Alligator mississippiensis: one gene and its partner. The protein of the gene in region 1 purifies or fractionates together with the protein of each later gene. This does not show direct contact. Links are inferred from orthologs where the notes say so. Each region holds a gene or a part of one and is shown on either strand. Other genes may lie near its edges.

Region 1 (7,549 bases):
TCCTCTAATCAATGGAAAAGTAGGGTGATAGCACCATCACCCTCTGCTTCACAAAGCAGGAGAAAAGTGGTTGTGGATTGTGCTTTGGAGGGAGCTTACTCCTTTAGGGGTATGTGTTAGGGAAACCCATGAAGAGAGAGAAAGAAAAACAAGGCTGAGTCAATATGGGACTGAGCTTTTTAAAACAGAAGGGCAATGTGTGTTGCTCTGGATCAGGGGTTTTCAACATTTTGCGGCCAGACAGAGGGGGTGGGGGATGCAGGTGCATGCCTGAATGCACCACGGTGGCAGCCAGCGCATGCAAGCTCCTCACCATGTCTAGCCAGGCAGACAGCGCCCGCGTGCAACGGTGCATGGCAGTGCTCTGTCCCCGCCTGCCTGTGTATGCCCCCTAGGGCCTTCTCAAGTACCCCCTGGTGTATGCGTACCCCCGGTTGACAACCCCTGCTCTGGATTATCCATTCTCTCTTGCTCTCTTCACCTTCATCCCTCTGTCCTCACACAGACATGCCTTTTCTACAGCCTTCACCTTTCAGTATCCAGATGCTGGGTGTCACTTCAAGACATGGGACCTCAGTTAGGAAGAATGCCCAGTAGAAATAGTGCTAGGCTACTGACTTTTTCAGATGGTCTTTTACATTTCTCAGGTCTCAAGTAGCTGAACAACATTAAAGAAGAGATGTAAACAGCTTCTTCCCTGCGGTTTCCAAATGCGTCCTGCTGGGTACCCAGCGCTCCCCGGACTGCCTCGGGCAACGAGAACTGCTATATTTACCGTTAACAATGCACAGAGGCATGCCTGGCAAATCCCCAGCTAACCTGATGTCTCCATCAATTTTAGCAGCTCTCTCAATCCCTCCGGGTGGTTTGCTGACGAGCCCGCGCTAATCACTCCCATCGTACACCTTCGCGGCACTTTCCTTGTTTGTCGCACCCTTAATTGCCCACTTCTGCTTGGCTCCAGGCAACCCGGGCTTGTGCCTTTCTGAGAAGGGGAAGCAGCCGGCGCAGCAGGCTGTGGACGCGCCTGGATGCCAGGGCTGGGCAGCATGCCGCAGCCCAGCTCTCCTCCCTGCCCCGTCTCCCCTGGGTGTCAGCACCCACGTAGCAGCCTGGTCCCAGCAGCTGTGCAAATGAAGGGGGCCAGTGGCGGTGCAAACAAAGCACATCTTTCCCCCCCCCCCCAGCACCGCAGCCCTTGGGTGCAGCCGGCTCCCCCTCCCTCCGGCCAGGCGTGCAGCACCCCCGGCCCAGCCCGGCCCAGCGCAGCGGGGAGAGCAGGGCCAAGGCCGGGCGGGGGCTGCAAGGCCCGGAGCAGGAGGGGCGCAGCGCTGCCTTGCCCGCAGGGAGGCCCCGGCCCGGACCTGTCTGATGGCCGCCAGCGTGTTCTCGGGCGCGTCGTGGCCGCCGCCGCGGTGGGCGATGCGGGCGGCGGCGCCGCGCGGCTGCAGGACGTGCTGGGCCCGCGACAGCGGCGCCGGCTCCAGGCTGAAGAGCCGCAGCGCCAGGTAGAGCCCGGCCGGCGCCAGGCAGGACAGCGCCGGGCTGCGGCTCAGCGCCAGCAGCGCGCCCAGCAGCGCCGTGAGGGCGCCCAGCAGGCCCGGCCCGCCGCGCAACATAGCGAGGCGGAGCGGAACCGAGCCACCACTCCCGCCCGGCGCCGTCGGCACCGAAGCGCACAATGCGCCGCGGAGCTGCGCGCCAGCCAATCCACACCCACCGGTGGGTTTTGCCAACAACCAATCAACGCCCAGCCCCACTCTGCTATCAGCCAGTCATCCTCCAGCAACTGGCCACCGCCCGCCAATCGTCATGGAGGACACATCTTGGCTGAGTCTCTCAGCCAACGATTGGCTGAAAAGCCGGAACGGGGCAGGATCTGGGGTTGGGTCCCGCCTTCAGGGCTGCCCAGTAGGTGGAGGCGGCTCGCTTGGAGCTGCGAAACCAGGAGCTGCCTGCAAGCAACGCGAGTTCAGCTTATTAATGTCGATCTCCTGCTTTCTTCCTCTTCAGGGAGCGTGATTTGAAGGTTTTCTCTGCCCCAGGCAGGCTCCCCTGTAGTCCTGCAGCTGTAACTGAGAAAAACCGTTGGGAGACTTGGCATTTAAACGAATAAAAGAGATTACCCCCAAATCTTTGTCTCTGCCTAGTTAAAGGCATACGTAGAAGCAGCAGTGAGTGTGGAGGGACTTGTGCCAAAAATCCCCGTAATCAGCCACCTCTAGGTTATTTGAGCACTAATTTGGTATTCATAGACTTCATAGACATTAGGGCTGGAAGGGACCTCGGAAGATCATCGAGTCCAGCCCCCCGCCCAAAGGGCAGAAAAGAATTAGGCCTATGGCACCCGGGATTCCCAGGCGGTCTCCCATCCAGGTACTAGCCGGACCTGGGACTGCTTAGTTTCTGAGATCAGACGGGATCGGGTGCGCTCTAGGTTTTATTCTTAGGATATGCTCTAGGCTAAGTGTATTGTGGCTGACGGGGCTTGGGCTTCGTAGCTGTAGCCCCACTAGTCTCTAAACTGAGACTTCCCTCCTGCGGCCAGGGCTGTGCCTAGGGGGGCGAATCGGGGTGACAGCTGCGGGCCCTGCGCTTTGGGGGCCCCGTGGAGCCGGGTGGAGCGGCGACTCCCCGCTGCCGCCAGCTTCACGTCTGACTGCTGGGCAGCCCCCCTCTGCCTGCGGTCAAATCCACCCCCAACATCTTCGCATCCCAGGGGCAAGACCCCACACAGGCTGATTGGCCCCAGGCCCTGCAACCTGCTCGGGTTGTCTCTGCCTGCGGCCACACAGTTAAAGGCAAGCAAAACTTGGGGGCATGTGAACCCCAAGCCTCAGGGCTTGGGCCTGCACATAGGATGCCCACTGCAGGATTTGGAAGCATCTGAAGCCCAGGTGAAGGTGGAAGATGCTTGCCGGTAGCAGGGCCACATGGTTCTTGAAAGACTCATGGATTTGGAATTGATCTGGCTGATGTGACTTGGGACATGAAAAATTTTCCTTAAAAAGAAACAAAAACCAAACCGATTTTGCATTTCGTACTTAGCGTCCACATGATCATTAATGGCACATTAAATTTAGTACCTGTAATTACAGGTTCTAAATGTGCTGTAATCAGCGCGACTGCACATTAGGGTAAATGAATGCTTTTTTGGTGACATTAATGCACATAAGACTAAATCTACCGCACATTAGTGCATTAGCATGGTTTTTGCCAGCCGCACTAATGTGCAGTTGAATTAGTCTTCTGTGCATTAAGCTTCCTGTGTAGCCATACACAGAGTGATGTAGGTGCTTTTGATGATCTGCAGCCAGCTGTACGTTTTAAATGTTGAATTGATTTTGTAATGCATTTGTAGTTCTCTGTTTTTCCTTCCACTTCAAGCAACAACCTAAACTCAGACCTTGCCTGAGCCGAGTGTTGTTAGAGGAAATGAATGTCTTTTGCCCTGATCGTCTACTGAACTTCTTCTCATGCTCTGTCTGAGGTTGTTGATGGCAGGTACTGAGCAGAGTTCACAGGTTCCTTCCAAACTGACCGGCCCATCACAGTGAGTGTTTCTGCTATGGCTGAGGCCCGCTATGGCAGCATGATTACAGCTGGTTGCAGCCCAGGCTGCAGAGCATCATGACGCTTGGGAGCAAGTGCAGTCTCCTCTGACACGTGTCCAAAAGGAGAGCATGCCTGTGGCAGTCGCGCCTGTGCCCCAAGGATCATGAGACCACATGTTGCCATGTGCCCATGTCAAACACTGTCATCTCCCCAGTGCAAACTGGGGACATTGCAGTTCAGGTCCCTTGCTGCTGCTGGTAACTAGACAATGAATGACAAGAAGAGAGGAGCTGTTTTCAGGGCACTGTTTTCAGGCCATGGGCAGCATGAATGCTGCGTGCCCCTGGCGGCTGGGGGGGCACGGTGAGCTCCCACAGGCAGCGCTGCTGTCAGCAATGGGAGCATGGCAGCGGCAAGCAGGGAGCTCCTGCAGGGGGCCACAGCGCTGTCGGCGGTGGGGCAGTGGGGTGACAAGCGCCAACTGATGGCCAGTGACCATTTGCAGATGCTGCTGGCAGCATTGGCAGGTGGCCAGTGGCGATCACAGGCCGCCCACAGATGCTGCCAGTGGTATTGGCCTTTCTGCAGGGGGTGCACCACCACGTTCAGGGGGTGCATGTGCACCTGTGTGCACCTACACATCGCCAATGCTGGGAAGGATTACTGGAAACAGAGCATGGTTTACATGGAGTATCCGGATCAATCTGGGAAATCCGGGAGGAGCAGAAACCTTCCCGCAGAGGCATGAGCAGTTACCCACCTTCCCCTTTAGACTGGAGGGTACGCCTCTCTCCTTTCAAACTACAACTCCCAGCATGCGCCGCGGAGGCCAGAGAGCCTGTTGCTCCCAGCATGCAATGCCCCCGCCAAGCGGCGCGGGACGGGCGCCGGGGAGCAGTGCATGCTGGGATTTGTAGTTCTCTCCCGCCCGTGAGTGCTCCCAGGTGCGGCGCCCCGGAAGCGCAGGGGGAGGGGCGGGCTGCGGCCCCGGTTGCCAGGCGCCGGCGGCTCTGGCGCGGCGGAGCGCGGGGCCGGGATCGTGGGCGAGCGGGGCCGGCAGGTACCCGGGGACACGGCCTGTGGTCGCGGCCCCGGGCCCGAGCTCAGCGCGCGCGGCCCGGGCGGGGAGAGGAGCGCGTGAATGCGCTGCGCTGCGCTGCGCTGCGCTGCGCTGCGCGGGGCCCTGGCGCCTGCGGGCGGCCGAGAGAGAGGGAGGGAGGGAGGGAGGGAGAGAGGGCCCCGCGCTCGGGGGCTGCCCAGCTGTGAGCTGTGGTCTGCCTGGGGCGCCGGGCAGCGCCACCGAGTGTGTGTGTCTGCGCCCAGGCTGTGTCCCCGGGGTGCCTGGTTTCTACCCAGTTTGCAAAGGAGCCTTGCATTGAAAGGGGTGTTGGGCGCTGCTGCCTTCAAGACATCGGGGCCAGGATTTGTTCTGAGCTTGGCCGTGAGTCTCTTTGCATCAGTGCAGGAGCCTTGGTAGCGCAGGAGACTTTTGGGGGCTCTGACCCCCTGCCAGGGCTGTGGGAAATCCAGCAAAGAGCTGCTTTTGGATCCTCCATGCTACGGCAGATTCAGTGACTGCACAGACCGTGTGCAGCCTGCGTTCTCCAGCTGACTTGTGAATAAACCTCGTCTGCCTGTTTCCCTCTGCCCCCCACCTTAAAAAGATGATTTCCTTCCTCCCCACTGCCACCATCTGCCCCTTAACGTACGGCGTGGTTCTCCTCCCTGCACTGGCCAGGTCTCCGCATGACTGCTGTGTCCAGTTGAAGACAGTGTGTTTAAAAAAAGAAAGAAAGAGAGCTCATTTGAAAAGAGTCTAGGCCAGAGGTTCAGAAATCACGACCCTGGGGCAGAAATGGAAAGAATAGGGTTTATTTAGTCTAAAGAAGAGAGAACCGAGATGATGTGGAAAGGGGAAGGTTGTAAACTTTTCCACTCTGCTGGGGACAGTAGAGGATTAATGTGCAGCAGGGGACAATGGGATGTCAGGCCCAACTTCCTAATTGTATGAGTGTGGATCTGGCAGGTTTTTAGGGCACGACTAGACGAATATCTGTGAGGAAGGGTTGACTTGCAGTTCATTCAGCCTTTGGCAGGCAGGTGCACTAGATGACCTCATAACATCCCTTCCAGCCCCATTTTCTGTGATTGTAGTAGCAGTGCAACATCCTATCTTTTGTACTGGCTTTCAGATGTTTGACTGCCAAAGTTGTAAAGCACGGCACAGTCAAACAAGAAGTGTAGATGGTAAGTAGGGTTACAAATGGCTTGAAACCTAAGGCTGTTCTGGAGTTTAAGGTCCTAGTTTTGTTCCCGTCGAAGTGATTGCCTTGAGAAGCAAGCCCTTTGAGACAGCAGTACGCTGGAGATTACTTAACTTGGAGTCCATAATAGCACAGATTAACAAGAATTTGTATGAAATATTCCATGTCACATTTCTGTCTCTCGCTGCAATGTATCGCAGAGAACAGAATCATTTTCACAACCTGCTCTTGTTGTACTTGTCCTGCTGTATTTCTTCCACTGGTAGTACCATGGTGGTAGTAATATATCTCTATGTGCAGTTTAATCAAAGGAAGATGGAAGACTATGAAAAATTCTGTGAAAAGCATCTTGCCAGGCTTCAAGGAGAGTCGCTACCAAAAGAAATCTCTTTGCCTACTCAGCACAAAAATATTTCACTTATCCAGTTCCATGGCATTCCTGTGCTTTCACCCTTGGTAAGTGTGACATGTAAGTACTTACATTTAGAAAAGGCAGAGACCATTTTTGTTCACTTATCTATATTGGGTTATGGGGCAACCAACCATGACTAGCGCATTTCTGTAGTGTTCAGGAACGAAATCAAAGGCTGATGGGAGTGGAGTTTTATGATACGATTAAGTAAAAAAATAATTTTTCCCATTCCAGAGTTTGGATTGAGGTGTTTACCACTAGATGAGTACTCTTATGTTGGATTCTTTCATAGCTTCCCATTATACCTGTTGGTTTTCCAGCCTTATTTTGTGAATGCGGCTCTTTTCCTACCCTGCTCTCTTCTTGCTGGGCCCTTGTTTGATTAGTACACGTAGATAAGCACAAGTTATAGTGTAAAAAGTTCCTTACCATTTTTGTCTAGACAACACTACAACTGCTGGAAGAGTTGGATAGTAAGAAATGCAGCTACAAAGCCGACTAGCACAATCAAAGCCTTTAAGATGAACTTGCGGCCCAATTGCTTATGCATCCCACAGTGTGCCCCTCAGGCCTTGGCTACACAGAAGTCTTTCTAAAATCTTTTCTAACATCAGAGATGCTTCACTAGGAGGATTTTGGAGAAGTCTCAGTGCAGCAGCAGCTCCATTTTAATTACGCCTTAACTTGTTGCCTAGTACATACAGGGCACAGAAGTGGATTATTTACTGTGTTTCCTTTCACTTTGTGAAATAATGTATGTCTCATAAGAAAAATACTTATGGTGGTATAAACCAGGCAAATACTGCTACTATTATACTTTATTTTTAATGGAAAATTGCTTATTTGCTAGTTGCTGAATGTCGTTTGGGCTTATTTAAAATAGTACCAAATAAAAAGAGTGGATGGAAATGCTAGGTTGATTGGAAAGTTTTCACTCAACCCCATTTTCAATCAGAAAAAGTTTTTCAGCTAAACAGGATTTTTTTTTTTCCTAAAAAAAAAAAAAAAATTCAAAATTTTCATTTTATTCAGAAATGCTACTAGAGTGTCTCAGCAACAGGAGATGCTGTTTCATGGGAGATATCAACATTTTTCCATCTATTTCCAACTGGTTCTAAAAGATACTTAAGATGGCATCTCTAGATTAAAAGACATTATTGCTTTCTCTTCTCTTCCTCCTTCCTCTTTCTTCCTCTAACTTATTCTTGTTTTATAATTGGTCTTGGTTAGCTCTGTTATACACATATATTTTAAGTGAATTTGTATTTTAAGATTATTTATTTGTATGGAATACAGCAATTGAATGACAGAACATCCT
Region 2 (6,922 bases), on another chromosome or scaffold:
CTTAGGTGCTGCCTTCGTTGGTGCCTGTTAAGAGAGATTGAAAACAAATGGTAAAATTAGCTGGTAAAATCTCTTGTAGTGTTTCCATTTTAATTCTTCCTTGAGGACATAGAGTGTCCTCATTAGAAGTGAGGCAAGTGTACTCAGATAGTGGTATCGTATGCATAGTGACAAATCTCAGCAAAGCAGGCTGAGGAGGTTTACAGGAAGAGCCCTGCAGTGCTAACCAGCTTAAAGAACAGGCAACCATCAATATGATAGTCATGCTATCAGGAAATGCAATAATTTAGTATTGTTGCAGTCTCTAAAAGTGAAGATTTAAAAGCATCTCTCCCATATCGTAGACTGCCGAAGCCCATGTTTCAGCAAAAGCAGCACGCAATGCACAAGCTCTCAGTCAGGTGTTCCACACAACAGTATTTCTTATGGGCATGTTTCAAGTTACCAGTTTTACATTTTATAAATTTCTACCCTTTTGGCCTAAAAGATATCACCTTTGTAGTAGAGGTTGCAGTTTTCTTGGTTGCCTGCTTAGCCTTCTTGGCTTCCTTGGCAGCCCTGTTTTTAAAAAAAACAAAATGAGTTACAATAACTATTTGCTTCTTCCACCTAATGTTTTCCTTCCATCTCAAAACGAAGTGGACTCTATCTACAACGATACTAAAGAAACAAGAACTGCTTTGAAGGTAGGTAAACCTAAAATTATGATGCATTTGACTTCTGGCCTATAGCTGCATAAGGCATCTTGAGAAAGCTCACTCAGAATCTTAAAAAATACAACAGCTTGTAGTACTCCAAACAATACAAGTGGCATTTCCCCCATCCTAAATTATAACCAGTCATTTTTTTAATATATTTTTTGACCAAATAGCAGTAAAGGCAATTTCTATCTATACTAAAGCAGCATCCCCAAAAACTGGACAGCTATTTTTTTTTAAAGCTCCCATGACTTTGTGTTAACAGTCTTATCTGCTTCATCATTTTAACCCTCAAGCTAGCACTACCTTAAGTATTTTGTCTTCCTTTCCAACTCTACCCTCCCACTAACAAGCCAGGTTGCAAACTGTGACCTCAAGCACAATTTAGAAATCTGTAATGGAAACCAGAATATTTGCTACACTGGAAATACTTGAGATCGCTACAGTTGCCTTCAGCTGCTCACCTAATGGCTTGTTCCCGCTGCGCTTTTCGTACTTCAGGCTTCTGATTTCTCTTGGCCATTATCTCAGCCAAAGATGCACCAGTGATAGCCCTCTGGAACTTGACAGCACGGCGTGTCCGCTTTTTTTGTATCTCTTCCTAAAATGGGAGAGGTGTGAATTGGATAATTAGTGCCACAAGAAGCTGAACAAAGAGCACTGCATTATTTGCATTTGTCTTCAGTGTTGAAGAGTCCCCATTTTCTCCAAAATCCTTAACAGAGTAAGAATCTGTTTTGGCAGATGCTGACCATAATGGCAATCATCTCCACACTACATATACCAAAATCATCAATGCATTATTTATCGTCTATGAAGACAAAGAATAAAGATAAGAGAAATGAGTTAAGTGCAATGAGAATGTAAGAGCATTCCTTATGAGTACCTAAAAACAGGAAATCTATTTGTATAAGTCATTTTGTTCAAAAGGATGCTGTGCAATGAAGTTTCCAATCATGAGAAGTCAAGTTTGACCATCTTCAGAAAATGCTAGCAAACCTTCCTCTTTGATTACTCAAAATGGCACATACTTCAGCTCCCCTCTCCAGGCCCACCTATTTAACCCTGCTTCCAGAAACCACATTTTCAAATTTAACTTTCTATAATCCAAAAAGTATAATGAACTCCATGAGATCCCAAGAAGACTAAAACAGAACATGTTCAGAAACTACTATGATGGGAGAGAGCGAAAACTGTTGCAGTTCTCCACATAGCCTATTCACTTTTTCTTAAAAATAAATAAATAAATAAATAAATCTTAACTATAACACCAAAGAGACTTTTGGGGCTTTATCAAACAAGCTGGCATAGATAACCTAATCACATATGTGTTTCCCTGTTCCAATCAAAACAAGCATCAAAAACCTTGTCAGCTAAAGTTTAAGTAACACCTTTAAAAATTCCTTACTACACAATGGAAAGAGGCAGTTAGCTATGAGGTGAGACAGAAGGCAGGGCAGCTCCTACAGACATGGGGAGCCCGCTCTGACATGCCAGAAATTCAGCACATCAGAGCAGACTTGATTTCGAGTCCGCTGAAGCATGGAAATGAACGCACTCCAGCAGCCTTCAGCATCACATGCATCAGTGACCTGTGTGTCCCAGCAATGAAAGATGGTGGCAGGGCACTTTGAACTAAAGCTCATTGAATGTGTTTTATTTCAAAGGGCCTTGCCACCAATTTTTCAGTGTGGGGACACAAGATGCACACAATACGCGGGCACTTTTAGTTAGTGTGGTACGCTTAAAGTGCCCCAAAACACATATAAAAATTCTTTCAGAGCCATAAGTTTTTGTAGGTGACAATCAACTTTGCCAGATGCCATGACAGCTATCATAGCATGATGGGAACCATAAAAACTACTGGAAACATACTTGAAATTTGATGCTGTAGCAGAGATTCAGGATTTTTATACCCAGCAATCACTTCATAATTAAGTTGGACCTAAAAATCACAGTCCAAGCTTTAAAACAGATACAAGCTACACTTGCTACAAGTGTAACAAAGAATGTACACTCAACTAATCACCTACCAACTAGAGAGGAATATAGAACTCTTCCCTTCATTGCAGTAATCCTTCCGAATAAGAATTAAGTGGCATCACACTGCCCAGCCTTAATGTCAAAGTGTTAGTATTTGACAGAACCAAAAGCCAACAAACAGGAACTATGTACGGCCAGAATCACAAGGATATGAATTTTGTATTGGTAAAAGTGAAGGTCTGTATCACTTAAATGCTACAGCCCACTTCACAATCCAGGAGTTGTCACTTGTTTGCACACCTGTGGCAAATGGGATGATTCACATGCCTCTCTTCAACATTAAAGCATCGTTATTCATAATATATTAAATATACTTACAGACTGTCCTTTCTTGTGTTTGCGTCGATACAGAACAGTCCAGTTGATCTGGCGGGGGTTTCTCTTGGAGAGAAATGCAGACTCGCATTTTGCATTCAGGAACTGGAAAACCTGGAGACATGCACACAAATATACCTATTTTACAATAGGTTTACTCCATTCAAACCATCACAGTTTATATGTTTGTCAAGTTGCTGAGTCCTCCTTAGAATCATAGAAAGTAAGGGTTGAAAGGGACCTCAGGAGGTCCAACCCCTGCTCAAAGCAGGACCATCCCCAACTAGATCATCCCAGCCAAAGCTTTGTCTACTTTGGTCTTAAACACCTCCAAGAATGGAGATTTCACCACCTCTGCATAACCTGCCCCAGTGTTTTACTACCCTCTTTATAAGAAAGTCCTTCCTAACATCTAACCTAAACCTCCCTCCCTGCAACTTGAGACCAGCGGTCCTTGTTCCGTCATCTGCCACCATCTTTGCTGCCCCTGTGTAGGGTTAAAGCCTGCCAGCGTCCCTGGGCTTGTGCATACCTCGGGGCTGTGCTAGGTCTCTACATCACAGCCACCGTCCCCTGCAGCCTCCCCTCCCCCAGGTCCTCTCGGGCCGCACTCCCCAACCCTCGCGCACCTTGCCGTCCGTGCGGGCGTAGCGGCGGCCGTGGCCTGGGTAGATCTTGTAGCCGCTGAAGCTGCACAGCTCGACCCTGCGAGGAGACAAACGCAGTAGGTTAGCGGGGGCGCTTGGGTGGCGGAACCGACCGGGGGGGGGTGTAAAGCAGAGCTCACTTCATGATGGCGGTAGATTCGGCCTGGGCGGCGGCAGCGACTAAGAGGAAGAGAGGATTATGGGAACGCGCCTTTTATATGCGCCACGCGGGGCAGGCCGGGACGAAACTGCGGCGCCCAATGAGGGCGCTCAGCAGGGCGTGGAGGTGGGGCTGCCTCGCTGGAGGAGGCTGCTAATCTGCGCGTGGCCCTGCGTTGCTTGGCGGCGTGTGCAAACGGGCAGCATGGCGGCGGCGAACAGCGAAGAGAGCGGCCCGGTCGCGGGCGCCGAGGAAGGTAGCGGTGGTGCTGGGGGAGGGGGTGCGCCGGTCTCGCAGCGGTTGGCGGGGGGAGAGGCGGTGTGCGCGGGGCACGCTGGGAGCTGTAGTTCGGTCCGCGCGGGGCCGGCGCGCTAGCCTGGTGCTCGCACTACGCTTCCCGACAGCCTTTGCGTTTCTCCCCCCGCGCCCAGGCCTTGCCTGACCTCTCCGTCTCGTCCCGCGCCTGCCCTGCTCTCCCTGCCCAGGTGCAGCGGCAGCTGCTGCGCAGGTTGTTCTGCGGGTTTCAGGGAGCTGCGTCCTTCCTGACCCCCACCTCAGCGCGGCCAGGAAGCGCCCTCTGTTTTTAAGTCCCAGCAGCAGCACGGGCACAGCCCAGTCGTGGCTGGTGCCAGCGTCTGGCTGGGGCTGAGGCTACACCTCTCCATCTCCGTCCCCTGCACTCTCTTCTGTTTGGCCTGATGTCTTGTCAAGCAGTCAGGTCTGGTAACTCATCCTCTTGTCTTCTTCACCAATGTCCCCTTGGCCTGGTGCCCTCAACACACTCCCTCCTGCGTCCTGGCTGAACCCCTCCCTGCCCCTCCACTCCCTCCTTGAGACCCCTGCCTCTCAATCACACAAGGCAGCTGGACGGTAATAGTCTCCAGGCATCACAGAGTTGGCTCCTGTAGGGATGGTTCGGTCCCATGCCAATCCTCCAGTGCCTCTTCAAGGCTTGCTGATGAAGACTGCTGTGCATTAAACAACTTCTCTTACTCTATGCCAATTGTACAGTTGGTGCAGTAAAAGATATGGGGACAGGCCTGCTTTGAGCAGGGGTTTGGATTAGATGACCTCCTGAGGTCCCTTCCAGCCCTCATTTTCTATGATTCTATATTACCCAAAAGAGCTTCACCTCTTTGAGGCTTAAGCTGCAAATGTCGTGTCAGATCTTTTCAGTCCTTCCATTATGCATCACTGAGGCAAGATGGTTTTCTCGGTTTCCGCCCCAGCCCCTCTCACCTTCTTTATATAAACCCCATTTACCAGGGGATCTTTTCCTTGCTGTAGCCATAGCTTGTATGTGGCTTTCGTAATTGTCAAAGTAGATTCTTCCATACTCAAACTCCATTTATCCCTGCTGTCATCTCTAGAAATATATGTTGCCAGAGGCGACTCGAACAGGATCCGGGGCCCAGGGCAAGTCGGTCCATGCAGGGCCGTGCCACCACTCCGATCCCAGACCTGAAGAAGCGGGTGGGGTAGCGAGCGGCTGGGCTCCGTGGGGCCCCCCCAAAGCGCAGGACCCGGGGCGGACAGCCCTGTATGTTGCAGACATCGCTGCAAAGATTCTGATCCTCATTGTGAGCTATTTGAGGCAGGAACCTTGCCATATGTCTTTAAAGCATCCTGAACATTGCCAGATGCATGAGGATGATAATGGTAATAATTATCACTATAGGTTTTCCTCTTTATGCTGTATGTGCATTCCTGGAAAATGGAGTGTAACTTGAATTTGCATAAAGGGAACCCACTTTACAGTGTAACAAATAGGGATATGTTCCAAGACCTTGACTTTACTGACTCCCAGACCCATTTCTACCACTTTTACAAGGCAATTTTGGTATTCACCAACAGCAGACAGTACACACAAGCATAGGGTGGTGGTGAATGTTACCATAATGGGGATGGCAACTACAGAAACTCATCACAGACCATGAGCAAGGAGATCCACGCACAAGACTATATTTTGGTATGTTCCTCCCACAGTGTGCTGCACAAAGCAGCTGACTGCGGGCTTCCACCACACTGATCACATAAGAGTGAATTTACCTTGCATGTAAAGAATTTTTGGTATAAAGAGGGTCATCGCATAAGAATGAATTTGCACATACAGAACCCGCATAAATCAAGGGAAACCTGTATTGTCTTAAATTACTTATGAAGTTTTCCTTGATGAAGCTGAGTATGAAGTGAGTATGACAGACAAAAAACTAGAACTCTTGGTTCCAAAACAATACCTTTTATTAGACCAACCAAGATATCGCAAGAAAACTATCCTTTTCTACAAGCTTTTGGGATCAAAGTGAGTATGAAGCTTTTTTTTGATGAAGGAGAGAACTTCTCGATAAATTAACTCTTAAAAAAAATCAGTCCTTGTCATTGCAGTAGCAAATTTAGAAATATACAGCATCATCTCTGAGGCAAGATAGCTTACATTCTTTTGTTGCTGCTTGCAGCTTTGCTACTGCTGCACTAGGAACAGCTGCGTTAACAAAAGGAATGCAAAATTAGCAATGCTGTTGTTGGCAAAATTATCTCCAAAATTGGCTACTGTAGTTGTTAGCTGTATATCTGGCCCGCTAATACAATGACTGAAGGCAGTTCTTCAACATTGCTGTTTTTAGTCTTAGCTAGGTGGTAGCAAAGGTTTAAGAGATTTGATCTGGTAGGCCTGGGTTATGAGAACTGGCTATATTCTCCCCTGCCAGAGTACAGGGAAAGGGTCTACCAGTGAACAGGTGTCGGGAGAAGAACTTCTAGTTCTTCTCCCAACACCTTCTTCCGATACTCTTCAATGTCTTCATCAGCGACTTGGACGAGGGAGTGAAGTGTACTCTGTCCAAGTTTGCGGATGAGACAAAACTGTGGGGAGAAGTGGGCACGCCGGAGGTCAGGGAACAACTACAAGCAGACCTGGACAGGTTGGACAAGTGGGCAGAAAACAACAGAATTCAATTCAACAGGGAGAAATGCAAAGTGCTGCACCTAGGGAGGAAAAATGTCCAGCATACCTACTGCCTAGGAAATGACCTGCTGGGTGGAACGGAAGCGGAAAGGGA

The links. Proteins that work in one complex are often made in the same cells at the same time.
Region 2: the proteins of CCP110 (region 1) and CEP97 purify together in Homo sapiens (co-immunoprecipitation; 10 studies listed by BioGRID and IntAct, with this or other methods). This does not show direct contact. The link is inferred for Alligator mississippiensis from reciprocal best matches to the Homo sapiens genes CCP110 and CEP97.

Annotation. Positions count from the first base shown.
Region 1 is NC_081836.1:45,264,321-45,271,869, forward strand, and holds the start of CCP110 (centriolar coiled-coil protein of 110 kDa), read left to right. Parts: upstream 1-4,516; 5' UTR 4,517-4,615; intron 4,616-6,119; 5' UTR 6,120-6,134; coding exon 6,135-6,275; exon of another isoform or gene 6,276-6,288; intron 6,289-7,549. Other genes in the region: GDE1 (glycerophosphodiester phosphodiesterase 1), read right to left, coding at 1,365-1,619.
Region 2 is NC_081824.1:262,277,156-262,284,077, reverse strand, and holds the start of CEP97 (centrosomal protein of 97 kDa), read left to right. Parts: upstream 1-3,902; coding exon 3,903-4,119; intron 4,120-6,922. Other genes in the region: RPL24 (large ribosomal subunit protein eL24), read right to left, coding at 1-24, 495-558, 1,163-1,299, 3,060-3,170, 3,686-3,761, 3,844-3,848. UniProt on the Homo sapiens protein: Acts as a key negative regulator of ciliogenesis in collaboration with CCP110 by capping the mother centriole thereby preventing cilia formation. Required for recruitment of CCP110 to the centrosome.